Macaca fascicularis: one gene and its partners. The protein of the gene in region 6 interacts with the protein of the main gene of each other region in a pairwise test. Links are inferred from orthologs where the notes say so. Each region holds a gene or a part of one and is shown on either strand. Other genes may lie near its edges. The genes, in order: FAM110A, CCDC185, ZC2HC1C, WAC, NOC4L, KRT15 and ZGPAT.

Evidence for each region.
Region 1: the proteins of KRT15 (region 6) and FAM110A interact in a two-hybrid assay, tested with the Homo sapiens proteins (2 studies listed by BioGRID and IntAct). The two-hybrid records come from large-scale screens. The link is inferred for Macaca fascicularis from reciprocal best matches to the Homo sapiens genes KRT15 and FAM110A.
Region 2: the proteins of KRT15 (region 6) and CCDC185 interact in a two-hybrid assay, tested with the Homo sapiens proteins (2 studies listed by BioGRID and IntAct). The two-hybrid records come from large-scale screens. The link is inferred for Macaca fascicularis from reciprocal best matches to the Homo sapiens genes KRT15 and CCDC185.
Region 3: the proteins of KRT15 (region 6) and ZC2HC1C interact in binary tests that used the Homo sapiens proteins (3 or more experiments, as listed by UniProt). The two-hybrid records come from large-scale screens. The link is inferred for Macaca fascicularis from reciprocal best matches to the Homo sapiens genes KRT15 and ZC2HC1C.
Region 4: the proteins of KRT15 (region 6) and WAC interact in a two-hybrid assay, tested with the Homo sapiens proteins (4 studies listed by BioGRID and IntAct). The two-hybrid records come from large-scale screens. The link is inferred for Macaca fascicularis from reciprocal best matches to the Homo sapiens genes KRT15 and WAC.
Region 5: the proteins of KRT15 (region 6) and NOC4L interact in binary tests that used the Homo sapiens proteins (3 or more experiments, as listed by UniProt). The two-hybrid records come from large-scale screens. The link is inferred for Macaca fascicularis from reciprocal best matches to the Homo sapiens genes KRT15 and NOC4L.
Region 7: the proteins of KRT15 (region 6) and ZGPAT interact in binary tests that used the Homo sapiens proteins (3 or more experiments, as listed by UniProt). The two-hybrid records come from large-scale screens. The link is inferred for Macaca fascicularis from reciprocal best matches to the Homo sapiens genes KRT15 and ZGPAT.

Annotation. Positions count from the first base shown.
Region 1 is NC_088384.1:86,552,262-86,556,753, reverse strand, and holds the start of FAM110A (protein FAM110A), read left to right. Parts: upstream 1-1,579; 5' UTR 1,580-1,816; intron 1,817-4,492.
Region 2 is NC_088375.1:81,410,133-81,414,127, forward strand, and holds CCDC185 (coiled-coil domain-containing protein 185), read left to right. Parts: upstream 1-1,326; 5' UTR 1,327-1,353; coding exon 1,354-3,225; 3' UTR 3,226-3,352; downstream 3,353-3,995.
Region 3 is NC_088381.1:143,018,016-143,022,489, forward strand, and holds the start of ZC2HC1C (zinc finger C2HC domain-containing protein 1C), read left to right. Parts: upstream 1-1,407; 5' UTR 1,408-2,336; coding exon 2,337-3,668; intron 3,669-4,474. Other genes in the region: ACYP1 (acylphosphatase-1), read right to left, coding at 495-661, 886-1,137.
Region 4 is NC_088383.1:29,309,846-29,313,656, forward strand, and holds part of WAC (WW domain-containing adapter protein with coiled-coil), read left to right. Parts: exon of another isoform or gene 1-354; intron 355-511; coding exon 512-660; intron 661-3,063; coding exon 3,064-3,182; intron 3,183-3,811.
Region 5 is NC_088385.1:139,270,871-139,274,956, reverse strand, and holds the end of NOC4L (nucleolar complex protein 4 homolog), read right to left. Parts: intron 3,944-4,086; coding exon 3,836-3,943; intron 3,526-3,835; coding exon 3,376-3,525; intron 3,280-3,375; coding exon 3,180-3,279; intron 3,088-3,179; coding exon 3,053-3,087; intron 2,549-3,052; coding exon 2,498-2,548; intron 2,407-2,497; coding exon 2,251-2,406; intron 1,982-2,250; coding exon of another isoform or gene 1,921-1,981; intron 1,840-1,920; coding exon 1,613-1,839; intron 1,498-1,612; coding exon 1,337-1,497; intron 1,236-1,336; coding exon 1,153-1,235; intron 890-1,152; coding exon 776-889; intron 691-775; coding exon 571-690; 3' UTR 536-570; downstream 1-535.
Region 6 is NC_088390.1:62,556,988-62,561,381, reverse strand, and holds the start of KRT15 (keratin, type I cytoskeletal 15), read left to right. Parts: upstream 1-1,286; 5' UTR 1,287-1,349; coding exon 1,350-1,847; intron 1,848-2,999; coding exon 3,000-3,082; intron 3,083-3,204; coding exon 3,205-3,361; intron 3,362-3,905; coding exon 3,906-4,067; intron 4,068-4,160; coding exon 4,161-4,286; intron 4,287-4,394.
Region 7 is NC_088384.1:119,823,773-119,828,244, forward strand, and holds the start of ZGPAT (zinc finger CCCH-type with G patch domain-containing protein), read left to right. Parts: upstream 1-1,401; 5' UTR 1,402-1,481; intron 1,482-1,910; 5' UTR 1,911-1,938; coding exon 1,939-2,519; intron 2,520-4,472. Other genes in the region: ARFRP1 (ADP-ribosylation factor-related protein 1), read right to left, coding at 59-146, 407-505, 1,162-1,215. UniProt on the Homo sapiens protein: Transcription repressor that specifically binds the 5'-GGAG[GA]A[GA]A-3' consensus sequence. Represses transcription by recruiting the chromatin multiprotein complex NuRD to target promoters.

The DNA of each region.
Region 1 (4,492 bases), on a different chromosome or scaffold from region 6:
GGATCACTTGAGGCCAGGAGTTCTAGACTGGCCTGGGGCAACATAGTGACACCCGTAGCTTGACATGGTGATGCGCGCCTGTAGTCCTAGTTACTCTGGAGGCTGAGGTGGGAGGATTGCTTCAACCTAGGATACAGTGAGCTGTGGTTGCACCACTGCACTCCACCTTGGGCAACAGATCTAGACCCTGTCTCTAAAAAACATAAATAAATCAATATTTAATACTTAGCATTTCCCCCTATCTTTAAATCTCTTTTAGCTACTTCACTTTTATTTTTATTTTTTTGAGATGATCTGTTGCCCAGGTTGGGGTGCAGTGGCATGATCTCAGCTCACTGCATCCCCCACATCCCAGGTTCAATCTATTCTCCTGCCTCATCCTCCCGAGTAGCTGGGATTACAGGCTTGTAGCACCACGCCTGGGTAATTTTTGTATTTTTAGTAGAGACAAGGTTTCACTATGTTGGCCAGGCTGGTCTTCAACTCCTGACTTCAGGTGATTTGATCGCCTCAGCCTCCCAAAGTGCTGGGATTACAGGCGTGAGCCACTGCTCCTGGTGGCTGCTTCATTTTTAATGGCTGCATAATATTCCTCATCAGAAAGTGGGAATAATTAGGCTAGTCGGCGTGGCTCATGCCTGTAATTCTAGAACTTTGGAAGGCTGAGTTGGTAGGATTACTTGAGTCCAGGAGTTTAAGACCAGTCTGGGCAACATGGCAAAACCCTGTCTCTACAAAAAATACAGAAAATACCGGGTGTGGTAGTGCACACCTGTAGTCCCAGCTACTCGGGAGGCTGAGGTGGGAAGATTGCTTGACCCCAGGAGACTGAGGCTGCTGTAAGCTGAGATCCCACCACTGCACTCCAGCCAGGGTGACTCCATCTCAAAAAAAAAAAAAAAGGAAAGAAAAAAAGAAAGTGTTAATAATTAAAAGTACTTTTAGAGGGTTATGTCATAAGCCTTGACAAGAGTTGTTCTGTAAAGCTACCTGGCATGTAAAACGCTCAATTAAGTTAGTTAGCTCTTCCACAGGATGGAATTATATAACCAACCCCTTTCAAGAGGCATTTAAGTTGTTTCCATTATTTTGTCATGATGAATAAGGCTGAGCAATATTAATCTTTGCTCATATCTTTGGTCATTTCCTTTGTAAATTTCAGGACTGCTGGGTGTGCACATTTTAAAATTAACTCACTCATCATCATGCAGTTAGGAGAACAGAGAAAGGAAGGGGCTGTGCGGGGTCACATAGGGAGTTAGCGTCAAAGTCAGGACTAGGAATCAACCAGGGTCCTCTAACTGGAGCTCTTCCAGCTGGTGCCCTAGAGGAAGTCCCAGCTGCAAGCCGGAGGGAGGAGGAAGGGAAAGAACCAGGCGCCGGGTCTGAAGCGGCGGCAGGAAGAAGGTGGGGCCGGTTGGGAGGTGGGGGCGGAGCTGCTGAGCCGCGCCGCTCCTTCAGGCTGCAGAAGCTAAGCGGTCGCCTGGCAACCCCGGCGGCGCGCCGTTCGAACGGAAGCGAGGAACCAATCAGGAAGTCCGGGTCGAACCATTCTGGAGTGAAGGGGGGCGGGGTGCTCACTTCCCCTTTCTCGGCGCTCGAGGGACTTTCCCTGCGGTGGGGGCCTTCGACAGTCAGGGCCACCCGCTCAGCTCGACTGCGGAGGGCAGTTCCGAAGGGGACCCCAAAGGTGCCCACGCGGGGCTGGGGCCTCCTGGGCGCCGTTGGGAGCGGTCACTACCAGCCCGGGTCCGAGCTGTCAGCCTCTCCGAAGACTGCGCGGAAGGAGCCGGGACACGCCTAGGACGAGCTCCAGGTGAGGGCGCGGGTGGTTCCGGGTGCGACCCGGGGTCTGGGGGACTCTGTTCCCCGAGCGCCTGCTGTCTGCTTTCTCCCCGCGTCGTACCTGCGTGTCATTTCACAGATGAGGACTCTGAGGTTCAGAGAGGCAAGTGTCCTGGCTCGGCGAGCTCTGGCAGAGAATCCAGTTCAAGGCTTTCCGCCCTACCTCGCAGCCCCTAGTCTAGTCGTATCTAGACTTGCCTTGAGAGGTACAGACGGGCAACTAGTAGTCATTTTCCCAGCATTTTATCGGCAGGGACACGGCCTATGGACCCCTGGCTGGATCACCTATCCCTGCGCCCCACACTGTCCTCGGGATACCCCTTTTGGGCGTCTTTCTTCTCCGCAGTCCGGGGTTGGACTCGGCTCATTTGGCGCCCTTCTGCCTACTGGGCTCTGAACTCCAGAGCTCCCCCTCTCAGAGGACCACTCTTTAGCCATCGGATGGCACTGACATTTCTGGGCTGGATATAGGGGCAGCAGATTCTCCAGCCCCCAGAGTCGCTGCTGGCCTCTTGGGAATCTTCCCCGGTCTGGGGAAGGGAATAAAGCCAGTCCCTGAACCAAAGCCACTAGTCACCAGAGACTTTGGAATTGGGGGTGGGGCCGGGATTCCCTCAGGAGGAGCATCTGATCTAGGCCAGATCCTGCTCTGTCTCCTGGGGACACCCCTTGCCCCCTAGGTTGCTATTGTCAGTCTCCTTTTGTAGGTGGGGAAACTGAGGTTCTAAGAAGTTAAGCCTCTTGTCGAAGTCCCAGTCAGACAATGCAGTGGTTATTAGCTCCTGGTCCCTCTGGCTTCAATCTTAGAATCCTTGACACCCAGAGTCATGCATTTTGAGAGTCTTGAATCTCTTCATAAGGGAGTTACATATCTCCTCTCCTCTGGAGCCTCCCCCTGGCTTTGGGGACAGGATCTCCGAACACTCAGAAAACAAGCCTTTCCTTTATTCTTTCAACAAATATTATTGACTTCATAAGCCTTGCTCTTGTTCTTGCATGTTTTGTTTTTCTCAGTAGCATTTACTCCACCTTATGTCCTATATATTTTACTTATTAGCAAATTTATCACCTTCTCCCACTGTGATGCAAGGCAGGGGCTGAGGCAATTGAGGTCCTCACCACCAGTGCAAAATTTAGGGATGCCCTGAACCTCAGTAATCAAGATAACTGAAACTAATGTTCATGGACCATTTGTATGTTCTGCAGGCAGGAGGTTAACTCACACAGCCTTCATGAAGCACAGTCCTCCCATCTCATTCTCTCTCTCTCTCTCTATATATATGTGTGTGTGTATGTGTGTGTGTGTATATATATATGCATATTTATAAATCGTGAAACCACTGCCCTGTCCCTGACTTGCTCTGTGACATTGAGTAAGTTTCTTCAGTCTCTGGGCTGAGCTAAGAAGTCATGATGGTGCACTCAGGCCTGGGCAGAGGGCGGTCTAGGATAGGAAGCAGACTTGGTTGTGGATTACAAATACATCCCCCAGACTCAGCTGTCCCACTTCTAAGCAAAATGATGTAGATGCAGTGATGCTGCAGTGTGGTTTGTAGGCAGAAATGAGACACACTCTAAGTGGCCACCAGTAGGGGATGATGGGAAATTCTACTGTGCAGCTGGGAAAAAGGACATGCTCTTTATGTACTGATGTGGCACCAAGAACAAAACATACTATTGAGCAAAAAGAACAAGATGAAAATGGTACACATAGCATCATGACGCCATATGTGTAACAATGGAGACAGAATATATATTCATACTTGCCTGCATCTGCCTAAAGTCTCTCAGGAAGGATAAGCAACTGTCTGGTCACGATGGTGCCTGCAGGGAGGAGAAATGGGGACAGGGTGGGAGGAGGTTGTTGTTGTTTTTTTTTTTTAAACTTCACTATCTTTACCGTTTTTGAATTTTGAGTTGTGTGCATGTATCATCTATTTTAAAAATTTAAAAATTAAGGCCAGGTGCGGTGGCTCACGCCTGTAATCTCAGCACTTTGGGAGGCCAAGGCGGGTGGATCACTTGAGGTCAGGAGTTTCAGACCAGCCTGGCCAACGTGGTGAAACCTCATCTTTACTAAAAAATACAAAAATTAGCCGGATGTGGTGGCACGAGCCTATAATCCCAGCTACTTGGGAGGCTGAGGCAGGAGAATCACTTAAACCTGGGAGGTGGAGGTTGCGGTGATCCCGGTGCACTCCAGCCTGGGTGACAACAGGAAAACTCTGTCTAAAAAATAAAATTACATATATATATGTGTGTGTGTGTGTATGTATGTATGTGTGTGTGTATATATATATATATATATATATATATATATGCATGTTTATAAATCATGAGACCACTGCCCTGTCCCTGACTTGCTCTGTGACACTAAGTTTCTTCAGTCTCTGGGCTGAGCTAAGAAGTCATGATGGTGTACTCAGGCCTGGGCAGAGGGCGGTCTAGGATAGGAAGTGGGCTTGGCTATGGATCTGCCTCCCACTCACCTTTCTAATCCTGCGTGCCAGGTCCTTCCCCAAGACCTTGCATGTGTTATCTCTCTCATTCCGTCCCCACTGCAAAATCCTTTGTCCCCATTTTGCAACCTCAAGTGCAAACCTAGAAGATCAACTTGGTAGAGGTGAGCATATCAGTGGGCCTAGAT
Region 2 (3,995 bases), on a different chromosome or scaffold from region 6:
CAAAGTCTCACTCTGTTGCCCAGACTGGGGTGCAGTGACATAATCATGGCTCACTGCAGCCTCAAATTCCTGGACTCAAGCAATCCTTCCACCTCAGCCTCCGGAATAGCTGGGACTATAAATGCACACACATGTTTAGCTAATTTTTAAAATGTTTATATAGAGGCAGAGTCTCTCTATGTTGCCCAGACTGGTCTAAGTCCTGGGCTCAAGGGATCCTCCTGCCTTGCCTTCCCCACATGCTAGGATTACAGGCATGAACCACCACCCAACCCAATTCTTAAAACTTTTAACTGACGCTTAGCATGGCACCAAAATGATATTTATTGAATGTATTCTGGTGCCAACCTCTGGATGCATCATTTCGTCTGATCCTCACAACAGTCCTGCAATGCTGGTAAGATGAGCCCGGCTTCCCACTCCATCTTGCTGGAACTGGAGGTCATGGAAACTTAAGGGATTTGCCCAAGAGCCCATGAGTGAAGAGTGGTAGAGGAGATTCAAATTCTTTTTCTCTACCAGATCCAGTGTTTTTCCCATTAGCCAAGGGTGCCTCAACAAGGAACAAGAATCCCACAAAATTCGAGGAAAAGGGGGAAAAATGTGATTTCAACATGGTGTTCACTGATGCTATTTCAGAAATGTGCACGCAGCATTCATATTTTGACAAAAGCAGTAATTACCATATTAGAAAATAGAGTCGTTGTCTTCCTTTTCTAAAAATCTTTAAAAGTTAACATTAAAGCATACTTTGGGCTTGCTAATTTAAAACGGCAAATGGATGGTGTCGCATATTAATGTGCGTCCACAGCCGCTCTATTTGACCACGTTGCAGAGGTACACACGTGCAGGACGGTGGTTCTGCAGCTGAGGGTATCTCCTCCCTGAAACTGCACCTTGGCCCTTCTCCCCACCCTTTTTATTCTGAGGGTGACGCCTTCACCCGGGCTCTCTTAAAATCCTGCTGTTTGTGTGCAAATGCGAGTTCAAATTTCTCCCTGAAACACTGGTGGGGGGACACTATGCACCCTCATCTTTAAATATCATCCTGATTTCCCACATATTCCCTCCTCCAACCTGCAACCCCTTTCTCCCCCACCCGACCCCCACCACCCCCATCTCCAGCCTCCTGTCCTTCCCATTCCAGGTGCTCCGAGTGCTAGCAAAACTGGGGTGGGCGGCGCCGGGCAAGGGCTGAAGACTGCGGGGACCCAGCTGCCAGGCGCATTGTGAAGTGGCCGGAGCGTCACAGGCGACCCCGACTTCGGGACCGGGGGGCGGGGCGGGTGTCTGCAGCGTCCTCTGGAGGTCTCAGACCCCTTGCGCAGACTCTGCGCGTGCCCAGAGGGAGGGATGGCAGGCTTCAGCCACTTCTCCCAGCCGCCCTACCGGGACCTCTGGGAACCCCCGCGGCCCGGCGGAGAGCGAGAGTCCACGCAGCGGCTGGGCGGGCAGAGGTCCGGAGCCAACTCCCCCGCGTGCTCCCGGGCCGAGACTCCGGGTGCGGAGAGCGAAGCTGGGGCGTGCTGGCTGCACCCGCACTGTTCGTTCACGCCGCGGCCTCGCAGGCGCGGGTGCTCAGACTCACCGCGGGGCAGCCGAAGCCTGAGCGATGTGGTCCGCAGGCCCCTGGACCGCTCCAGGAAGCACGGGCTCCGCAGCAGGCGCCTAGAAGATGCCTGGGGAGAGACAGGAACCAAGCCCCGCCCAGCTTGGCAGCCGCAGACCCAGCTGCCACCCCAGCGGCCGCAGCCCTGCCCGCATTACCCACTGGCCCAGGGAGACTCGCCCCCGCCTTACTCCGGAGGAGCTGGCACTCCCCTGAGTGGCACATTCAGGGTAGAAAAGGCACAGGGTGGAGACCAGTGGGCAGTGCCGCTCGGCAGACATCTAGGTCGCTGGTCCGCTTCCTCAGTTCCCTCGGAGCGGTCTTCTGTGCCCTCCCAAAAGTTCAGGAGGCACTCAGCCTGCGGGTGCGCCCAGAAGAGAGACAGCAGCGACCAGGTTGAGTCATTAGCAAGCCGGGACTCCCAGCCCTCGGCCTCTAGCAAAGAGATGCGGAGCCCCCACACCCAGGTCCTGAAGAGCAAGCTGGAAGAGGCAGTGGTGTCCTCCCAGGACCAGCAGATTGTGGCCCTCGTGTTGACCCGTCTCAAGAAGGCCCAGAGGATGCGGGAGCTGCAGCAGCAGGCGGCTGAGGCCTGGGAGGAGTTGAAGCGCTCGGATCAGAAGGTCCAGATGACCTTGGAGCGGGAACGCCGGCTGCTGCTGCAGCAGAGCCAGGAGCAGTGGCAGGAGAAGGAGCAGCGCAAGACCCTCCAAAGCCCTGAGCAGCGCTGCCGGCGGCGGGACAGCCAGAGGAAGAACGTGACCCCGGGGGAAAGCCGGTGGAAGGAACAAACTGAGGACCAGGAGAGCCCGCGCCAGGAGAAGCTGGAGAAGGCGCGCGCCCAGGCAGAGCACCGAAAGCAGTGCCAGGTGCGGCGCCTGCGGGAGCAGGAGAAGATGCAACGGAACCTCCGGGAGCAACACACCCTGCAGCTACAGAGGAGGCTGGTGGAGGCCTGTCGCAAGAGGCATCTGCATGCCGTGGAGGGACAGAAGAAGGTCCAGGACACCAACCTGAGCTCTCTCATCAATTACCAGGCCCGGAAGGTCCTCATGGACTGCCAGGCCAAGGCTGAGGAGCTCCTTAGGCAGCTGTCCCTGGAACAAAGTTTCCAGCGGTCCCAAGAGATACACCAGGGCCTGATGAAGGAGCGGCACCGCGAGCTGAGGGAGAAGGCCCAGAAGGAGGAAGAGCAGTTGCAGCAGGCCAGGTGGCGTGCAGGGGAGTCAGAGGAGCAGAGGAAGATGCGCAAAAGGATTCTGGTGGAGCTGGCAGATGAGAAGATCCGACAGGCCAGGAATCACGTGCACAAGACCACTAGGGACAAGGTGCAGCACCTCCGGGAGCTCAACCACCTGAGGGAGAAAAACCACCACATCCTGAAACTGAAAGCCGAGAAGGAGGAAAAGTGCCACATTGAAGGCATCAAGGAGGCCATTAAGAAAAAGGAGCAGAGGGTGCGGCACATTACCCAAGGGAAAGACCCAAACTTCCAGGAGTTCCAGAAGCTCCCTCAGGCCTCCAGGAGAGAAGAGAGAGCGCCTCCCAACAGCTCCCTTGATCAGATAGTACTAGAGGCCCAGCTCCGTGCCTGTCAGCAGAACAGGGATTACTGAGAACCAAGGACGCCTGGCTTACAGCGCCAGCCAGAAGGAGATGTGGCAATGTGATTCCTTTTGTAATCTGATTATAATTGAACATTGATTTTAAAAAAGCATATAAAATAGCTGCAATTTCCTCTCATGAACTGGTTTATTGATTCACTTGGATAGTTTAGAGGGTCGGGGAGAAAATTTTGAGAATTTCTATGAAAATGACTTGGCTTTGTGAATTTCGATTTGAATACAAAATATTCATTTAGCTCTCAAGTAATCTGAGAAACACACAACAGGCACATTTTGGAGACACCAGAGAAAAATCTATAGTTAGGGATACAGTTCTGTGACATGTCTTAAGTCTTTTCCTGTCCCAGAACTTATGAAAGGGTGAAGTATAAAGTACGCATCATAAGAAATCTCCAAGACAAAAAGAAATTTTAAAAAGAGTGAAGTGGGAGGATTCCTGTGAACGAGTAGATTTGGGAACCCTGCATACTATATCCTCTCTTGGGAGTTCATAATGCACTTTAAAATTTTAAAGACATGCAGTAAAGAAACTTAATGTTTAATGTCCCTCACCTCTTTTTTTTCTCAGATAATTTCATGGAATTGATGTTCTGTGAAACATTTTTGAAAACGGCACTCTATAGTTCTTATCTGATTGTGAACTTCTTTGGCCTTCCCTCCATGTATTGATAGGAAGTATTTATAATTCCATCAGCACTATTTCTTGACTGTTCCACCACAGCCACACCATCTGATATAGTTTGGCTGTGTCCCCACCCAAA
Region 3 (4,474 bases), on a different chromosome or scaffold from region 6:
GTGGCAGTGAGCTGAGATTGCGCCACTGCACTCCAGCCTGGGCAACAGGGTGAGATTCTGTCTCAAAAAACAAACAAATTTTAAAAAACCCTCAAAACCAACAAAACAGAAAACAAAAACAAAACGCTGGGGTAAAGTGATGGAGTCAATTCCCGGAGGGTACTGAAAAGCACTAATTCAAGAGAACTCATGGAAAGTGGCCCTTCTTTCTCATAGAGGAGAGGGAAGGAGAGAGGGAGAGAGACAGACAGAGACAGAGACAGACAGAGACAGAGAAGAAAGGGAGAGAAGGAAGAGGAGAGAGAGAGAGAAAGAAAGCCGGTACATCCTGCTGAGGGAAGCTGCGGGAGTTGATAATTGGGACCCTGAGTAGAGTGGGAAACATCTGGAGCTGCATATATGTAGAGGTGGTGCAGGCAACAAGGGATGAAAACGAGGAATTAAAAAAAAAAGAAAAGAAAAGAAAAAGAAAAGAAAAAAAAAGAAGGACTGACCTGGAGGGTCCACCAAGGAATTTCTTTGTAACAGGTAACAGCTGTAATATGACATGTTGAAGTATTAACACTGATGACTGCTTGTCTACATTATTTTCCAAGTGCATGAATTGAGTAGTTACAGGGAAAAAGCGAACTGCCTGTTCCCAACGTCCTACACAGATGAACTGAAGCGAAGAAAAAAAAATAAACTTTCTTTTGATGTCAACAAGTTACAGAGTATCATTTACTGTTGAAACCAGGTTATACTGATTATTTTCGATCTGGTAGTTCTTTATTATCATTACACTTGGCTGAGTCATTCCTACGCCCTAAGTACAGACGGCTAGAGTTACCACGTGAGAGTAAAACATTATAATATCAAAATAATTAGATTGGCCACAAAAATTACCCCGGAAAGATACTGCGTAGCAAAAACGTTGGCAGCAAGTTCCAAAGACTTGGCGACGACAAGCAGGGAGCGCGCACGTGCAGCCATACCTGGGGCCCGCCCAGCGCAGCCAAGCGCGCCGAGAAAGGTCAGCAGCAGCCCCGCTCCCACCAGGCAGGCGGTCGCCTGCACCCTGCGGCGGAAGCACGCGGAGGCACAGCCAGGGCCTCCGCCCTTTGCCAGTGAAGGGCACACCCCAAGGTCTGGGAGCATCGTTCTCAGGAAAGTACAAGTTCTTCTTTGATGGAGCCCCAGAAAAGCCTCTCCCGCCCTTCCTCGGCTCCCCAAGGGCAGGGCTGTACCCGGCTGCAGAGTTGGCCGGACACTGACTGGGTCAAGTGACGGTCGGGCTGACCGCACCCCCCACCCCCGGTCGCCCCGGGTCGCTGGTGCACTGCGCCTGCGCACGCCTCCCCAAGGAGTTCGCAGCGAGGGGCGGAGCTTGGCCCGCCAGTAACTCGGTCTCCAGGCACCGGGAATAACAGAAGCTAGCTGAGAGCGCCTGCGCGGCCGTCGGTTGAGGGGGAGGTCGGGTCTGGGAAACTAGGCCCTGGGGTTTCCCCTGAGCAGGAGCGGTGCCCGAGGGCCTCAGGTACGCAGAAGGGCGGGGAGACAGAGGGTCAGCACCTCCTAAGGGCCCGAAGGGCAGGAGAGAGAGAGGACTTGTCCCCAGAGGCGGAGTCCGTAGTGGGGGCGCCCCAGTTGACCCTTCGGGACAGAACGTGACTTCAGCCTTAAGGATCTAAAACCGGCTGCAGCCAGGTCAGGTGGCCCTCAACGCTCAGGTTACAAAACTTTTACCGTCTGCGCCACGGGGACTCCTGGGATGAGGGTTTGACAGCCAGGCACCTGCTCCAGGCCCTAGCAGCCTCTGTGCTCTTTTGAATCAAGCACGGTTCCAGCAGGAGGGAAGCCCTGAGAGCTCTTTGTGCCAGTCACTACCTCTGGGCCACAGCTTGCTCACCTGTAAAATGGTGAGGATGGACTCGGACGGAACCCTTCAGTTTACAGGTGAAGAAACGGGGGCCAGCAAGGGAGAAGTCGCTTGTCCTGTTACAGGCCTAAAACCTGACTTTCAATCCGATGCTCTTTCCACTTACTGTAGAGTATACTGTGCGTGGCAGAGGCTGGTGCTGGAGGAGAGGAGAGCTAGGTGGCAGGAACACCTGTAGCACCTCCGTTTCTCTACCCTCAGGGCCTAACACAGTGTCTTGTGCATAGTAATCACTCACCAAATGGTTTTTGAAGGGAAGCTTTGGCAGATCCAGCACCACTGTCCCCAGAAAAGTTTAAGGAAATGTGGGCAGGGCAAATGTTGAAATAGTTTGCTTTAGCAGACGAGAGTGAACCTCAGACAAACTCTTCGCATGTATCTGGTTTAAATCTCCCGTAGGCATCAGTCCAGGCCCTGAATGGCTGGTCTCCAGCGGTTGGCATCACATCTGCCTGTGGGCGTTATGCTTCCACATAATACAACAGAAGCTCCAGGGCCCCACTCAGCCAAGCAAGACTCTTACGAACAAAGTGACTCTTCCCAGCAGTCCTTGAAGGGGCACCTGAGGAACAATTTCCAGAAGCAGCTTTTGAGCAACAAAGAGTTGACTCTGGATAAAGTCCACACTCACCCCAAATGGAACACAAAAGCCCGGAGCTACTCCTATCCCCACTGTACTGGAATCAGCCACCAAGATGCAGGAAGTGATTTCCAGGGCCAAGGAAATGGTTTGTTTTACTCATCAGGCCCTCAATCCTGGTATCCCAAAGCCAATAACCAGGACTTTATCCCCTTTACAAAGAAACGAGTTGGAGTGGACCGGGCGTACCCACTGAAACCCGTGGTCCACAGGAAGTCGTGCAGTACAGGTGAGTCTGGCACTGATGGGGACCAGAATGTCTACCCAAGGCCCCCTGAACTGAGAGAGTTTTCATCCAGGAACTTTGATGTGAGGAACCAGGTCAACTTTTCTGTGGTTGATCCTGTTCTTGCTGCCATGCAGGCGGAGAAGGCCTTGGCAAACTTGGACAGGATGGAGTGGGTGCAGATCCAAAGACTAGAAGCTGCAGGGGAGAGCTTAGAGGAGGAAATCCGAAGAAAGCAGATTCTCCTGAGAGGAAAGCTGAAGAAGACAGAGGAGGAACTCAGAAGGATCCAGACGCAAAAGGAACAGGCCAAGGAAAATGAAAACAGAGAGCTACAGAAAATTATATTCCCCAGGAGCAGAGTTAAAGGTAATAACAGCAACACCACGCACAAAGCTGTCTTCTCCCCAGAATTTGATTTTGAGGAAGAATTTAGTAGAGACAGGAGAGAGGATGAAACTTGGGAACGGTCTCAACAAAATTCGAGTCCATTCCAGCTCTCTGATTATAGAATCCAGAGACTCAAAAGGGAAAGGCTGGTAGCAAGCAATAACAAAATTCGAGACCGAGTCTCAGAGCCGTCGATGGAGAAGTTCTCCCCGCCTTCAGAAACACCAGGCGGTGCTTTGCAGGGATCTGCCAGAAATTCCAGCCTGTCCATGGCACCAGACTCCTCAGGTTCCAGCGGCTCCACTGAAGAGCCACAGCTGGGTGAGTGCAGCCACTGTGGGCGAAAATTCCTCTTGTTCAGGCTGGAGAGACACTCCAACATCTGCAGCAGGATGCAGGGTTCCAAGAGGAAAGTGTTTGACTCCTCCAGGGCCCGGGCTAAGGGCACAGAACTAGAGCAATACTTGAACTGGAAGGGGCCAGCTTCAGCCAAGGTAACAAGAGCCTTATGGATGTGACTTGGTGTGGGGATCATTGTAGGGGTCTGTTTTGTCATCATCAGTTTTCTTTAGGGAAAATTCATGTGTCATGTAGGAAGAATTGACGTCTAGAATTAACATTTCTTGATTACTACTGTATGCCAGCATTGTGATGGGAGCTTTGCATGTGATCCTCGCATTTATCTCTCATTTTATCAGTTCAAAAATCAAGACTTGGACAGGCTAAGTAACTTGCTTGAGGTCACAAACAGCTTTAAGTGGCAGAGTCAGCATATAAATCTTGGTTAGAATGACTAAAAAATCTAGACTAAGAATTTGTGTCCTTTGGATTATAAAAGTAATAAAAGTTTACTGTAGAAAATTCAAAAGACACAAAAAATCGAAAGAAAAAAAATGCAGGCTTTTGTCACCTGGAGAGAACGCCTCACTCTTTGCAATGTATTCTGCCACCTCCCAAGACTAGAATCTGTGAGCATTCCTTTAACTATGTAGTCTGTTAAGATTAGCTCAGTGTTGGCCGGCGCGGTGGCTCACGCCTGTAATCCCAGCACTTTGGGAGGCTGAGGCGGGTGGATCACGAGGTCAGGAGATCGAGACCATCCTGGCTAACACTGTGAAACCCCATGTCTACTAAAAATGCAAAAAAATTAGCCGGGCATGGTGGCGGGCGCCTGTAGTCCCAGCTACACGGGAGACTGAGGCAGGAGAATGGCATGAACCCAGGAGGCGGAGCTTGCAGTGAGCTGAGATCGCACCACTGCACTCCAGCCTGGGCGACAGAGCAAGACTCCATCTCAAAA
Region 4 (3,811 bases), on a different chromosome or scaffold from region 6:
TCTTCATGAAGGTATCCAAATGGAGAGAGATACACGTAGGAGCAAATGGGAAGTGAAAGGGTCACTTTGTCAGAAAGCTGATAAACAGCAGGAATGCCTTGTCTGGAATGGAAGTATAATGGTGCAAAGACTCTTGCAACCCTCTGGCTAGCCTCATGAGCAGGAGACTGCGTGGGATACCTGGGCCTAAATGTAGAATAAGAAAGAAGAAATAAGGATGGTGAGGAGGCCTTCCATGTGAGAATAGGTTCAGGCCTAGCTTCCTGTTCCAGCCACATAAAGGAGAGTGGGCCACACTGGGTGTGCTTACCTCTGAACACACAGCTCACTTAGTCAGTGTGGCCCAGTGAGAAGGTCAGATTCTGATTTATTCCGATAAGTGTTCTCTGGGTAATATGGGGGTGGGGGGTTTAGAGTGATACAAAGATTGTTACCACATATATTACAAAGGACTTAGTTTTTTTGTTTTGTTTTGTTTTTCTTTAAAATTAATTGCTTCCCTCTTTTACAGCCCAGCCATCTAATCAGTCTCCAATGTCTTTAACGTCTGATGCGTCATCCCCAAGATCATATGTTTCTCCAAGAATAAGCACACCTCAAACTAACACAGTCCCTATCAAACCCTTGATCAGTACTCCTCCTGTTTCATCACAGCCAAAGGTATGTCACCTTTGAGGGATATTTGGGAAAGAAACTACTTTTGGAAAATCAATAACATTTTAGAATCTGTTACAGAAAAAGCTCTATGAGAATGAGGTGTAGTGGTGGAATGGATGACAGGTATGATAGTAGATGCAGCCTAGAATTTCTCAGTTCACTGAGGGATAGAGGGGGGCTTTGAATCTGTGCTGCTTTAATACACCTTCTGAGTCTGTTCCCTAATGGTTTTGGGATTTGTCACATGGAGAGTGAGATAAAGAGGGTATACTGTGAGTCTTAATATTTGTAGAATTTTCAGACTCCAAAAGACATGAGTGAACATGTTTTCCAGCAACTTTGCCATATTTGTATTTCAAAAATGAGGCAGTTTTTGTGCTAAGAACTTAATGTATGTTCAACTTTCACATCATGAGCATCACTTGCTTCATTTAATAGATAAGAAAATCAGACTCTCAGTTAAGTCTAGTTTTTGTGGTAGAGTCAGAATTTGAAACCTAGGTGTTTGTGAATACAGGGACCCATTTTACTAAGCTTATATTGCCTGTATTTGTCCCAGCAGAATCTCACATGGTTGGCTCCATAGGTGCAGTTAGAAAATTTCTGGGCTAAATGGTAAATATAGGGGGAATTTCTTTTGAGTAGTTTTGAAACAGTGGGCTGTTTCAAACTTTTTAATGCCAAACAATTATTTGTAAGATCTTAAGCAGCAGCCCAAAAATAAAAATGCATTGAAATACAACTTGAAAGAGGTGGTTGGTCAGCTTTTAAGTCTTCCCGTTTGTTCATCCCTTCCCTACCTTGGCCATTGATCAATGCATGTTTTAGGGCCAATTTAGATTGATTTTTAAAATTCCAAGTTACAGTTGTTAGTTTGTCATGCAGTTCCTTATCATTCACCAGTATTTTAAGGAGGAAAGAATTAAAATGTGAGTTTCAGCAAAAGATAGGTTATTTTTGGAGCTTAGAACTTTTCTTCAGGGTGATATTTTAAGAGTATAGTAAATAGTGGTTAAAAGTGAAATAAGTGGCAGTATTGGTTTTATAGTCACTTGTAAACTGAGCATTTCAACTCCTTTAAGCAGGCTGGGCGCAGTGGCGCACACCCATAATTACAGCACTTAGGAGGCCAGGGCAGGAGGATTCAGTTAGGCCCTGGGCAATACAGCAAGACCCCATCTCTACAAAAATAATTTGAAAATTTACTGGGGGAGGCCGAGGCAGGCAGATCACTTGAGGCCAGGAGTTTGAAAAAAGCCTGGCCAACAGGCAAAACCCAGTCTCTACTAAAATTACCAAAATTAGTGGCACAGACCTATAATCCCAGCTACTCAGGAGGCTGAGGCATGAGAATCACTTGACCTGGAAAGTGGAGGTGCAGTTGAGCCAAGATCACGCCACTGCACTCCAGCCTGGGCGAGAGAGCAAAACTCTGTCTTTAAAAAACAACAACAAAAAAAACTTATTTGGGCATGGCAATTTGTACTACTCAGGAGGCTGGGGTGGGGGAATCACCTGAGCCTGGGAATTCAAGGTTGGAGTGAGCCAAGATCACGTCACTCTGCACTCCAGACTAGGCAACCAGACTAAGACCCTGTCTCGAAGAAAAAAAAAAAAAGTCCTTTAAACAGATAGCTATCAGTTTTTTGTGTTCCGAAAACTTCTTCAAGTTGTTTTTAAAATAATTGAACATTTGAGCTTTTAGTGCTTACTAAAATGTTCTTTATAAGACTTGACTAGAATTGATAGGTAATATTCAGAAGTTAAGCAGGACGTTCCAGATTTGTTAGGGAGAATTATTAATCATATCCCCTCACCCCACCAAAAGAAAAACAGCAGTGAGGTGTGGCTTATCACAAAGGACTCCATCTGCCTTTGTGCCTCAATTTAGAGCTTATATTTTAAACTGCTTATTTTCTCTCTGTGGCTTCTGAATATAATATGTATCCTGATTGGCAATCATGGACTTCAGTCTACCTCTGTAGAGTAACATCTCTTTGAAAAACACTCATGATGAACTTTATATGGGCCATAACTCATTTTCTGATAGCCGAATCACATTGTTTCTCCATGTCATTAAAATCTAAGCATCCATATGTGTATGATGTGGTAGCATACATATTTACTTTTATTGATATAAAAGTAACAAATCAGAAGAGATAATAATGTATTGGAAAGAAAACTGAGTTGTAAAGGAGGAGAGCTAGTTTCTTACACTGGTTTGATAGGGAAGTAATTTTATGACCTTGGGCCATTTTTACAAAGAAATGAGATACCGAAGTTTTAGAACTTGACAGTCTTCTTTAAAACACCATATTTTACATGTTCTAAGACGATTACCTAGATTTTGGGGGGAGAGATGTGGATTAGATTTGGAGACCATCTCACCAGATTTTGACATTTCAGGTTAGTACTCCAGTAGTTAAGCAAGGACCAGTGTCACAGTCAGCCACACAGCAGCCTGTAACTGCTGACAAGCAGCAAGGTCATGAACCTGTCTCTCCTCGAAGTCTTCAGCGCTCAAGGTACGTCGATATTGTATATTGAGACCACATTGTTTTGTTTAATGATAGTATACTGGTATATTGCATTGTTTGAAGATGTATCTGTAAAATATAACAACTTTAAACTCCATGAATACTCTAAAGTAGGCTTATATGTTGTAAAATTTACAAAGACAAACCTGTATACAAGAGGTAGGTTATTGTCTCTAGTAGTAAAGCCCGGGTTATTTTGAAGAAAGTGGCTCTTTAAAATTTTACACAGTGGAATATGATGGGGTAAAGATTTGTGATACTTGTACCAGAAAGGCACATGATTTTACAATATTTGTTGGAATTACATTGCTTTGTAACCTCCTCATAGCAGTTTTGGTTTGAGTATATTGATGAAAGCCAAAGTCTCCTATCTAAAACTTGGGCCGATGTTTCCCGTGTATGTCAGGCTTTCCCAGTAGCTTAACTGTGACCCTATACAGATGACTTTTAGATAGTTCTATACTGCTGTATTGTGTTAGCACTTTTCTGTGTTCATTAACAACACAACTTTAAATGACATTTGTTGAATGAATGGTTTTCATTTGATTGATTTTCCTATTTTTTATTTCATGCTATGAGGTAGCAAAATAATTGAACTGTTGTTTTTATTGTTGTTT
Region 5 (4,086 bases), on a different chromosome or scaffold from region 6:
CCCAGAACAAAGGCGGGACCAGCAGGACACAGCCAGGGTGGGACGTTGACACAGGAACCCCCGACTCACGTCATCCCCCACTGACACCAACCCCCCCATTCACACAAACACCCTCTACTCACAACCAAAGTCCCCCCAGTCACACGGACACCCTACTCACACCAACACCCCCCCGACTCCCACACACATCATACCTGTACATACCACCACACCCACCTCCCGCCACAACTGACCCAGGCAGAGAGAACCCCCCAGCTCCCTCCCAGGTGTCTGGAGTGTAACCTCAGCAGAGGCCCCGAGCTCTGCAACAGTGAGGTCACTGGGGCCCGGGGAGTGAGGGAGGCTGGGTGACCCATGACACTGGTGGGCCAGAGGCCCTGGGAAAGACCATGCCTCAGGTTCCCCACCATGCCGTCCCAGGCTGCGGAGGAGGCAGGGGCCTCGCTTTGCCATGTGCCTGGTGGGCTCAGGTGGATGTGAGGCCCTCGGCCTGGCAGAGGCATCCAGCCGCCCCTGTCCACACTCCGAGCCGCTCTCCTGCAAAATCATTTATTCACAGGTGGGCCGGTGTCAGCTGAGTGTGAAGTGCTGGGCACAAAGTTCGCCCGGCCGTCCCAGCAGGCCCTGGGCTGGGATAAACTCCAGCGGCACTGGCTCGGACCCCTTCTTCTTCAGGTCCCGCTCAAAGATCTGCAAAGGACAAAGGACGGTGGCTCTCAGGCTTGGCTCAGCGCCCTGGGGCTCAGGCCCTCGCACCCCGGCCCCAGTCCCATACCTCATAGGCCGTGAGCTCCAGCAGCGGCGCGATGCTGACCTCGGGTACAGACAGGGCCTGGTTGATGACGCTGGCGGCTTTGGACACCTCAGGATGGTAGTGGTGCTGGAGGGCCTGGGGTAGCAGGGCTGTCAAGGGGCAGCTACCCCAGGCCCCCGCCCTATGCCCCCAGCCACCACCTTCCTGTGCTCCTAACCAGAGTGGGCGGGGTGGGGGCAGAGCCACGGAAGAAGGCCAAGCACCAAGCACCCACAAACCCTGGTGGCCAGTGGGGGACACGGCACGAGGCTATGCGGGAGGTGGCATGGGGAGCTGGGCTTTCTGAGGGGCCAAAGGATGGCTCGGGAGGCCCCAGAGCGTGGCAGCAGCACCCTCACCTGAAGCTCCCACAGGGAGCTCTCCAAGGCCCGGCTCTGGGCTGGGTCCTTCTCTCCGGGGTCGTAGGGGTCGGCGTCCAGCTCTAGGAATGAGATGCGGACCCTCATTTGCTGTCCACCTCTCCAGGGCACCAGGCACCCCTGCCACAGGTCCGGCCCAGCCTGCGAGAGCCCCGCGACTCACCAGGGCCGTGTGGGCGGTGCACGAGGACCCGGCAGGCGGGGTGCCGGCGCAGCAGGTTACAGATGAAAGGCAGGACCATGAGCAGGGCCTCGGGGGGAGCCGTCAGGGCCAGGCGGGCCAGGCGCTTGGCGAAGGCGGCCACCAGGTAGGCAGGGAGGTGGCTGGGCAGGGCAGTGGTTGTGAGACAGGGCCTGGACCGCTAGCCCCCATCACCCTCCCCTGGCGCCAGTCTGCAGAAGCACAGAGGAGAGCAGAGCCAGGTGCTCTGGTACTCACGAAGAAGACAGGAAGAGATCAGCCAGGTGGAAGAAACGGGCCCGGTACTTGACGTGAAAAACGGAAGGGTCCAGGAGGCCGTAGAGCTTCCGGTAGAAGTCGGGGTACTCCCTGTGGGCCGGCGGGGAAGGAGCAGTGGATGGAGCAGGGCCCGGGAACTGAGGCCTCCAAGGCCAGGGTCTAACTCGGCACCCCTTCCTCCCGCCCAGGGGCTCCAATGCCACGGCCTGTGAGAAGAGCGGGGACCCCGTGGGGCAGGGTGGGAAGGGCACAGGTAAGCAGGGCTGGACGGACGGGGAGACACTCACAGGTTGTGTTTGTGAATCAAGATGAACAGCCCGTTCAAGGCCAAGAGGCTGAGGGCCCCACCTGCAGACAGACAGACACACGCTGGAGCTGCAGTGACCTCGCTCCCACCCCACTCCCTGCCCACGCTGAGCCTAAGCTGTGGAGTGTGGCCCTGCCCCTGCTGTCCCCTCCCACAGCCCCCACGGACACAAAGCTGGAGACCACATGCAGGGCAGGGGAGTGGGGGGTGGAGGCTGCAGGGTTGGGGAAGAGGGGCTGCGGGGTGGAGGTTGGGGGGTTGGGGGTATGGGAGGCGCTGCTCCCGGCATGAGTGAGGCGGCCGCACTCACCGAGGGGGGTTGGGGTGTGGTGTGAACCAGGCGGCCGCACTCACCGAGGTCGCAGGCGCGGGTGAGGAAGTCGATCATGAGCGTGGGCTGGGCCAGCTGCGGCAGGATGGCGTCGTGCGTGATCAGCAGCACCTTCTTGTAGAGGCTGAGGGGCAGCTGGGCGAGGGCCGGCAGGTCAGGGTGAGGCCTCCACCCTTGGGGACACCCGGGTGCTGCCCCCGCCCTCACCAACCAGCCTGGCCCCTACCTTGTGCTTGAGGAAGCTGAGCCACATAGTCTGGAAAGCCTTCCTGTGTTCCTGCGACAGGGTCCAGACTGTACTTCTGCCCTCCTGACCCCAGACCCAGAGCCCAAGCAGCTGCCAGGGCACACTGAAGCCCAGCCCCGAGCCAACGCAAGCCCGCTCTCCACTCTTCTGACCCCGCCCTCCCTCTAACTGTCACCATTCAAGTCAGGAGCACCTCGCCCTCAAGGCTGGGGTCTCAGAACAGCCAGGAAAGAATCCTTGGCAAGACTAGGGCCAAGAGGGGGGCTGCGCCCAACACAGCCCGCGGGGCCCACGGATGGCACCAGAGCCTTCAGATTCCGAGAGGCGGTGGTGGCCTCCGACCCAAAGGAGGGCCCCGAGTTCAGAGGCCTTGTCACCTCCCACACTTCGAGTGACCCAGTGGCCATGCGAGCTGCCACCTGTACCCTGGGAGTTTCCTCGTGAGGAAGGCGGCAGCCTGCACGGGGTCTCGCACACACCCCACATGCACCCTGCAAGCCCAGGAGGGTGCCCGGCTCTCCGGAGGCCACTCACCTTCAGGTGAGCAACCTTCCAGGTGTCCCACAGCTCTGCAGGGAAAGCGAGAACAAAGGTCACCTGACCCGCGGGGGAGGCAGACCAAGGCCCAGCCCTGTCCGCCCCTGGCCCTCAGTACCCTCACCCGTGCGCTTCACATAGAAGCTGGAGACGGTGGGCTCCTGGCGGGGCAGGCTCACGGCAGACAGCAGCGTGAAGGTGTTGTTCCAGAAGGCCGGGGGCACCTGCGGAGCCGGACCTGAGTGCCTGGATGCCACCCCCCAGCCCCTGCCTCCCCGGGAGGCACCAGCATGATGCTGCTGACAGGCCCCGTCGCTCACCTCGGGGTGCTGGCCAGTGACCCGGGCCACGACCTCCACGGCCGCCTGCATGCTGTGGTAGCGAGTGTCGTCGTAGTCCAGGTACTCCCGGAACTGGGACAGGAGCAGGCTCTGGTCCTCCTCAGGAGAAAGCAGGCCTCCCACCACCAACTGGGGGCAAGGACCAGTGAGCAGCCCTGCCCGGCCCAGCACAGGCCAGCACGGCCCAGGCAGGCAGCCCCACCCCACCAAGGCCCCTACTCAGCCTCCTCCTGGTTGGGTGGGCCATGAGAGGCACCCCACACGCACAGGAGCCGCAGGAGGGTCCCAGCCAACAGCCAGGCTCAGCTCAGCAGGCCCCGCCCCGACTACAGGGCCACCCTGGGCTCTGGCCAGGCAGCCAGGCCCTCTGGGACCCCCCAGCCGGGCCCTCTGGGACTCCCCAGCCGGGCTCTCTGGGACCCCCCAGCCAGGCCCTCACCTTGAAGAGCTCTCGGGGAAACAGGTAGTTGCCTTCCCACTTGGGCTTCTCCAGGGGATGTGCTCCTTCCAGCTGCACGAACTTCATGAGCGCACTGAGGGCCAGCTCCTGGGAAGGGGCAGTGCAGGGTGGCTGTGATGTCCTCACCCCAGATGGGCCCAGAGCTCAGCCCAGTCAGGGAGCCCCTCACAACCAGGCCCAGAGCTGAGAAAAGGGCGTCCTGGCCTTCTCTTGTTCCACACGCCACCAGA
Region 6 (4,394 bases):
GAGTCAGGATTTGAACCCGGGCCTCACAGTCTTACCATGGTAATTGATAGAGCCAGGATTTAAACCCCAGGCCTGAGGGACTCCGGAGCCCTGTCCACTTCACCATGCTGCAACCTGGGCTAGGAATCCTCTTCCTGAGTTTCTGTAAGCCCTGGGGCCAGGTCCGGAGGGCCGGGCCACACCTCCAAGAGGCACTGCCCACAGGTGTCAGTTGTCCCTGGAAAGGTGTCCCTGAGCCGGTGGCAGAGAAAAGGGCTCTCCTGAGTGTTCAACTCCCCATCTTTGTGAAGTGATGCCTTGGTCTTCAAGATCTCCAGTGTCTTCCAGCCTGCCCGCCAATCTCCCATCTCTTCCCTTCCACAGCACTCAGGCACATAGAGCCTTCTGCAGCGGCCCCTCCCCAGCCAGCACTTGACAGGACAGATGGGGGCTAATCTGGCCCTGCTAAGCAGCAACATGCTGCTTGGAACTTGCCCCAGCCTTATCAGCGGAGGTCTGCCCCAACACATCCCAGAAGCGAGCAAAGGTTCAGCGCTATGCAGTTGGCAGGTGTCGGGATCATCAGTCATCCCCTTGTCAGCCCCGAGCCTGCTGGGCTTTTGTGAGGGTGCCAGGGACATAGGCTGGAGGCTGGCAGGAGGGGAGTAGAGGTGGGAGGAGGGGAGTCCATCTGCAGCACCAGGGAAGGGATGGATGCTGGCTCCTCTGGTCACCTCAGCTGGAACACTACTCAAGGTCCCTGGCTCCTGTCCTCCAACTGGGGGTCCTGCATTCCCATCCCCAGAGGCCTCCACTCCCCCTGAGCCCTGCAGTCTCTCACTCACTCACAGGGTTTTGAGTTGGATAACACAGTGTAATGATCAAGAAGTGGACTCCCAAACCGAGAACACGGAGCTGTCCCCTTGGGCAGAGGCTCAGGGCTCGGGGCAGTGGAGAAGTCCAGCTGAGGGCACAGTGGCTTGAGCTGCTCTCAGTTCAGCTAGAGGCTTTGGTAGCTGTGCTGTGATGAGAGTTCACTCCCTGCTGCTCTCTTCTGGCATGGAGAGATGAACCTGTAATCCAAGTGTTAAAACCGTGCCCCGGGGGAAAACACTATTAATTCTGAATCATCTCTTTTGTTGCATTAAAAAAAATAGAAGAGAAAAACTTCACACGAGCCACTCAAGGTGTGCAGGCAGCTGTGTTTGTCAGGAAGGCAGAAGGAGTTGGCTTTGCTTTGGGGGAGGAGACGAGGTCCCACAGCACCCTCTGAGGGGAATATAAGGAGCTCCAGAGTGCAGCCTGGCCTGGTACCTCCTGCCAGCGTCTCTTGGGTTTGCTGAGAACTCACGGGCTCCAGCTACCTGACGATGACCACCACATTTCTGCAAACTTCTTCCTCCACTTTTGGGGGTGGCTCTACCCGAGGGGGTTCCCTTCTGGCTGGGGGAGGTGGCTTTGGTGGGGGTAGTCTCTATGGGGGAGGTGGAAGCCGAAATATCTCAGCTTCTTCTGCTAGGTTTGTGTCTTCAGGGTCAGGAGGGGGCTACGGGGGTGGCATGAGGGTCTGTGGCTTTGGTGGAGGGGCTGGCAGTGTTTTTGGTGGAGGCTTTGGAGGGGGCATTGGTGGGGGTTTTGGTGGTGGCTTTGGTGGTGGCGATGGTGGTCTCCTCTCTGGCAATGAGAAAATTACCATGCAGAACCTCAATGACCGCCTGGCCTCCTACCTGGACAAGGTACGTGCCCTAGAAGAGGCCAATGCTGACCTGGAGGTGAAGATCCGTGACTGGTACCAGAAGCAGGCCCCGACCAGCCCGGAACGCGACTACAGCCAATACTTCAAGACCACTGAAGAGCTCCGGGACAAGGTGAGTCCTCAGATGTCAAAGAGAGGGGAGCAGGTGGCTGGTACCCTGTATGTGGCTCTAATGTCGGTGTTACTGCTGACTCGAGGAAATCCTTTCCTGCCCAGGCAACGACTGTCTGGTGTGTAACCTCAGCAAATTTGGAATGCACCTGCTGTCCAGGTGCAGAGGCTAGTGCACATCTTCTCAACTTGGTGGTGCTGGGGGAGGAAGGGAGGGGTCTTGGGAGTCTGGTTAGGACCAACAGGGGCACAGGTGGGGGCAATTATAAAGAGCCAGGGGCAGTAGCTCACACCTGTAATCCCAGTGCTTTGGGGGGCCAAGGTGATAGGACTGCTTGTGTTCAGGAGTTAGAGGCTGCAGTGAGCTAATGACTGTGCCACTGTACTCCGGCCTAGGTGACAGAGTGAGAACCTGTATCTAATGGAAAAAACCAATAATTAAAAAAAAGAGCAGCTCGCCTTCCCTACCTCATGCACCCTGCAGGCTTCTGCATAAAGTATTCCTTCACCTCTTTGGCAAGAATGGGATTGGAGTGTGGCCTCATGAGTCCCAGATGCTAGAACCTCTTGTCTTTTCCTATAAAGAGACCTTTTGTGCCAAAAGTACTGTTGGGTCTTAGGAGACCTGGGAACTCATTACACATTCTGTCACCCACTCACTCACCTTTTTACTCCCTGAGACTGGGTTCTTCATTTGTAAAAGGCCTTCTTTAGCTGCCCTCCAGGTTGCTACTGGCTGGAATGTTCTGTAGATCCATGGCTGTGTCCAAGATGTGCAGGAGGCAGTGACCATGAGCTGTCCACAGGGGGGCTGGTGGAGTGTCTCTGAGAGGGCTATTGTCAGAGCTGACCACACCCCACTCCACCACTCTTCTGGGCAACCAATTCCCACAGGCAGTACTGCCTCCTTGGTCTTTCGTGCCCTGGAGACAAGGAGGGCAACTCCTCAGGTGTCTCAAGGAGGCTGGTATGGGACAAAACCAGAAGTGGACACTCAAGATGCGGCTGGACTCTGCCCACCCCAGAGGCCCTACAGATTTTTGTTGGTGGTGTCAGAGGGGTGATTGTCAGTGAGGGGCTGGCCTTGGGTGCAGAGTGGAGAGCAGCAAGGGAGAGAGAGGAGTCCTCTAGGCACCAACTCTGTCTCCTGCAGATCACGGCCACCACCATCGACAACTCCCGGGTCATCCTGGAGATCGACAACGCCAGGCTGGCTGCAGACGACTTCAGGCTCAAGTGCGCTCCCCCCTCCCTCTCCTCTTCCTGCGTTGCCCACTTTACTTGGCCTTCTCCTGGGTCTGACTCAGGCAGCCAAGACCCCTCCCACTTCCTTCTTTGGCCTCCCTCTCTCTCCTCAGGTATGAGAACGAGCTGGCCCTGCGCCAGAGCGTCGAGGCTGACATCAACGGCCTGCGCCGAGTCCTGGATGAGCTGACCCTGGCCAAGACTGACCTGGAGATGCAGATCGAGGGCCTGAATGAGGAGCTGGCCTACCTGAAGAAGAACCACGAGGAGGTGAGAGCTGGCCCCCATCACCCTTGAACCTGAGAGAGGTGGGGAACTTCTTCCCAAAACGCACTTAAATTGCCCAGAGGGAAAGACAGCGGCTCCAGGAAGCCCTCCCAGATTTTCGCGAGATTAAGTCGGTGGGAGGCAGAGTGGGGCTGCTGGTACTTCCTCATCGTTGGCCTGGGGCTTAGTGGTTCAGAAACACCCCCAAACCCCAAAACCAGGTGTCCTCATGGAGAGGAAGGGGCACTGACCTGTGGTAGCCCAGACCCACAGCCAGGCCAGGTGGCCAGTACGAATGACTGACTTCCTCATTGGCTTTGTGAGCTCACATCAGGGCCCTACAGTCTCGGGGTCCTCCCTTTGGTAGGACCTAGAGCAGCAGAGAGCTCCTCAGAGTTGAGGGGTCCATGTGACCGAACCTCTTCATGTGCAATAGGGAACATCGGTTGGGGTGCGTTAGGGGCAGAGCCAGGATTGGCATGTGGGACCCCAGACTCAGGTTTCTCTTCTGCTCTCCGTCTCTAAATGGGCCCCTCCCACCCTGCAGGAGATGAAGGAGTTCGGCAGCCAGCTGGCCGGCCAGGTCAATGTGGAGATGGACGCAGCACCGGGCGTGGACCTGACCCGCGTGCTGGCAGAGATGAGGGAGCAGTACGAGGCCATGGCGGAGAAGAACCGCCGGGATGCTGAGGCCTGGTTCTTCAGCAAGGTGGGCCTGATCTCCTGCCCTGCCCTGCCTGCCCCAGCTCCCTGAGTCTCCGAGGAGGCCCCGGGACTCACTTCTCTTGTGCATGATCTGCAGACTGAGGAGCTGAACAAAGAGGTGGCCTCCAACACAGAAATGATCCAGACCAGCAAGACGGAGATCACAGACCTGAGACGCACGATGCAGGAGCTGGAGATAGAGCTTCAGTCCCAGCTCAGCATGGTACAGCCACCCTCGCCTCATCCCAGCCTCTCGGGTGGTAGAAGCTCCCACCCTTCCTGGCTAGTTAAGCCTTGGAGTTCTCAAGCCCCCTCAAGAGGTGGTTCCCTG
Region 7 (4,472 bases), on a different chromosome or scaffold from region 6:
CACAGCCTGCTATTTAGACCCCTTACTGTTTAGACCCCTTACTGTTTAGACCTCTTACTGTTTAGACCCACGGTGGTGGTGATTTTGGATAGACTCATTCCCTTGTAGTTCTTGTTAAACCGGGTTTTTGACTGTTCCAGGAAGGTCTGAGGAGAGAGGGAGAGGCAGACACATCAAGTAGGGGCTACACTGGCTTCCCAAATATCCTTCCTCAGGCCTGTTCCTTAAGAGAGAAAAACAGAAACAAAGCAACACTCTGCTCTTCAGGAAGCTGGTGGTGACAATCCTGTCGTCTCAGGTGAAATGTGGATTCCATCTGGGTAGTGAACATGCAGCTGACAGCACAAAACCGAAGCGGGGGCCACCCGGCCGTGGGAAAGGTGCGGGCAAGGGAGTGGGCACTCACCGTCTTCCCAGCATTGTCCAGGCCCAGGATCAGGATGCAGTACTCGTCCTTCTGAAACATGTACTTGTACAAGCCCGACAGCAGCGTGTACATCCTGCCCTGGGCGCCCCAACATGTGTCAGTGTGCAGCCGGAACGCAGCTCCCCGCCCCCGGGCTTCTCCACGGTGGTCAGGGGCGCCCCACGTCCAGCTGGCCGCTCAGGACCAGAGCCTGGGGGCCATTCCCGACTCTCCCTCCTCCACCGCACCCCTGCAACTCCTCCCAGGCCGGCCGCCACTCCGTCCTTCCGCTCACAGCAATGACTGCGACCTTTCCGAACCCGCAGCGGCTCCGGTCCCTCCCCTGCTCGCGGGACCACCCAGCCGGGTGTTCGCGGTGAGCTCCGCTGCGCTCCCGCCCTCCCCCGAGGTTTCGCTCCCACGCTTCACGCGCGCGGAACGGGGAACACACTCGCGGCAGCCCCGCCTGGGCCCCCGCGCCCCACCCGGGAGCAGCGAGCCGCCGGCGCGCTCCCCAGGAGCTCCCCAGGGACGCCCCATCAACCCATTTCTTAAAACGGGGACGGCCAGCGGGAAGCGGACTACAGGGCGGGTGCGCAGCGGCCCGGCTGCTCCCGGAGGCGGCGCGCGGCGGGCAGGGAACGACTCCCGCGGAGAAAGAACCCGCGTCGGGGACCCCGGCTACGGCCGCCCCATGCCGCGGCCGCCAGGTTGGAGGCTCGCCGACAAGCAGCCAAAGCTGGTTCCTGTCACACCTGCGTCCCACCTCCAGCTCTGGGCCGCCCCTCGGGCCTCGCGCCCCACCGCATAGCCTGCGGCCTACCTGCGACCGCCGCGACCTCGGAGCCGCCGCTGCTGACCCCCGCTGACCTCCGCTGACCCCGCGCTAACCCCGCGCGGCGCCTGACGGGACGAGAGCCGGCCTCAGGGAAGGAGCTGAAACGCGTCCCGGCGGCCTCCGCGCTCCGCTTCCCGGCTGCCCCCGCGCGCCAGGCACTTCCGGAAGTGGCGGCGCTCGGGAGGAAGTGCTGGTCGGCGGCGGGGACGAAAGGGGGGTGCCGGGCCGCTCTAGCCGGTGAGGCCGGCGGGCTCTCTATGGCGGCGGCTGGGAAACCGCGCGGGGGAGGTTCCCTGCCCGGGGAGAGGGGACCCCGGTTTGCGGGGACGCGGCCTTGGCCAGACTGCAGAGACGCCGGGCGCGGGGGCGGGGCCGGCCTGGAAGGCAGCGGGCGCGGCGGGTGGGCTCGGCGGAGGGCCGGGCGGCGGGGCGCCCCGCGGGGAGGGGGTCTCCGGAGTGACGCGGGACCCGGCTAGCGGCGAGCCCAGGGCGGCTCGGAAGGGAAGCGCGGAGCCTGAGCGGGGGTACCCGGTCTGCGACCTCTGCGCTGGGAGCTGTGCCTCTGAGCCGGTGTCTCCCCGAGGGACAGGGGACGTGCCCGTGCCCTCCCGCAGTCTGTGGGGCCGGTCCCGAGACGCGAGGCTCACCTGGCTTCTCTTCTCGCAGCCCTGGTCCAGCGCCTCCCTCTCTCAGCATGGACGAGGAGAGCCTGGAGTCGGCCTTGCAGACCTACCGTGCGCAGCTGCAGCAGGTGGAGCTGGCCCTGGGCGCCGGCCTGGATTCGTCTGAGCAGGCGGACCTGCGCCAGCTGCAGGGGGACCTGAAGGAGCTCATCGAGCTCACCGAGGCCAGCCTGGTGTCTGTCAGGAAGAGCAAGTTGCTGGCCGCGCTGGACGAAGAGCGCACGGGCCGGGAAGATGCTGAGTACCAGGCTTTCCGGGAGGCCATCACTGAGGCGGTGGAGGCGCCAGCAGCAGCCCCTGAGTCCGGATCAGAGACCGTTCCTAAAGCAGAGGCGGGGCCCGAATCTGCAGCAGGTGGGCAGGAGGAGGAAGAGGGAGAGGACGAGGAAGAGCTGAGTGGGACAAAGGTGAGCGCACCCTACTACAGCTCATGGGGCACTCTGGAGTATCACAACGCCATGGTGGTGGGAGCGGAAGAGGCTGAGGATGGTTCGGCGGGTGTCCGTGTGCTCTACCTGTACCCCACTCACAAGTCTCTGAAGCCGTGCCCGTTCTTCCTGGAGGGAAAGTGCCGCTTCAAGGAGAACTGCAGGTAAAACCCTTTGTTATCAGGATGCCAACCTTGGGGCGTAAGGGGCACGCACACAGGGTCGGGTCAGGGTGGCCCTCCCTTTGCTTTGCAGTTTTGTCTCAGCTTCTTGGGGCAGGCATGCTTTGTGACAGCAGTGTCTGTGTTCAGGCGTCTGCGTCTTTGTTCCGGGGTAAATCAAGAAGCATAGAAGGTGGCCGGGTGCGGTGGCCCACGCCTGTAATCCCAGCACTTTGGGAAGTCAAGGCGGGCAGATCACCTGAGGTCAGGAGTTCAGGACCACGCTGGTCAACATGGTGAAACCCTATCTCTGTTAAAAACACAAAATTCAACTGGTCGTGGTGGCGCGCACCTGTGGTCCTAGCTACTCAGGAGGCTGAGGCAGGAGAATTGGTTGAACCCAGGAGGCCAAGGTTGCAGTGAGCGGAAATGGAGCCACTGTACTCCAGCCTGAGCAACAGTGCAAGGCTTATGTGGAAGAGAATAGGTCTCCAACCTATCGTCATTGTTTTTTTGTTTGGTTGTTGTTTTAATTTTTTTTGAGACAGGGTCTTACTTTGTCAACCAGGCTGGAGTGCAGTGGCGCAGTCCTGGCTTACTGCAGCCTGGACCTCCTGGGCTCAACTGATCTCCTGCCTTAGCGCCCCTAGTAATTGGGGTACAGACTCACACTACCACATCCAGCTAATTTTTGTATTATTATTACTTGTTTATTTATTTATTTTTTGAGATGGAGTCTTGCTCTGTCGCCCAGGCTGGAGTGCAGTGGCGCAATCTCGGCTCACTGCAAGCTCTGCCTCCCGGGTTCAAACAATTCTCCTGCCTCAGCCTCCCTAGTAGCTGGGATTACAGGCACCTGCCACCATACCTGGCTAATTTTTTTGTACTTTTTAGTAGAGACGGGGTTTCACCGTGTTAGCCTGGATGGTCTCAATCTCCTGACCTTGTGATCCGCCCACCTCAGCCTCCCAAAGTGCTGGGATTACAGGCGTGAGACACAGTGCCTGCTTTTTTTTTTTTTTTTTTTGGAGATAGAGTTTCACTCTTGTTGCCCAGGCTGGAGTGCAGTGGCATAGTCTCAGCTTACTGCAACCTCCTTCTCCTGGGTTGAAGTAATTCTCTGCCTCAGTGTCCAGAGTAGCTGGAATTACAGGTGCCCACCACCACGCCCGGCTAATTTTTTGTATTTTTAGTAGAGACAGAGATTCACCATCTTGGCCAGGCTGATCTTGAACTCCTGACCTCGTGATCTACCCGCCTCAGTCTCCCAAAATGCTGGGATTACAGACGTGAGCCATCACGCCTGGCTAATTTTTGTAGTTTTAGTAGAGGTAGGGTTTTGTCATGTTGTCCAGGCTGGTTTCACGCTCCTGAGCTCAAGTGATCCACCTGCCCTGGCCTCCCAAAGTGCTGAGATCACAGGCATGAGCCACTGCGCCCGGCCCTGTTGTTAGTTTTATTCTCTAGAGTTCAACTTGAAAACTTTACTTTTTTTTTTTTTTTTTTTTGAGACAGAGTCTCGCTCTGTCACCCAGGCTGGAGTGCAATGGCTTGATCTCAGCTCACTGCAAGCTCCGCCTCCCGGGTTCACGCCATTCTCCTGCCTCAGCCTCCCGAGTAGCTGGGACTACAGGCGCCCGCCACCTCGCCCAGCTAATTTTTTTTATATTTTTAGTAGAGACGGGGTTTCACTGTGTTAGCCGGGATGGTCTCGATCTCCTGACCTGGTGATCCGCCTGTCTCGGCCTCCCAAAGTGCTGGGATTACAGGCATGAGCCACCACGCCCGGCCTGAAAATTTTACTCTTACGGAGATTTTCAAACATACCCCAAGTTAGAGAGCTTAACATAATCACTGCCCACGGTCCATAATCCACGGTCCATCATCCAGTGTCCTCATTGATTAACATTTTGCTAGTCTTGTTTTGTCTGTTCTCCCTGTTCTACTTTTTTCTTT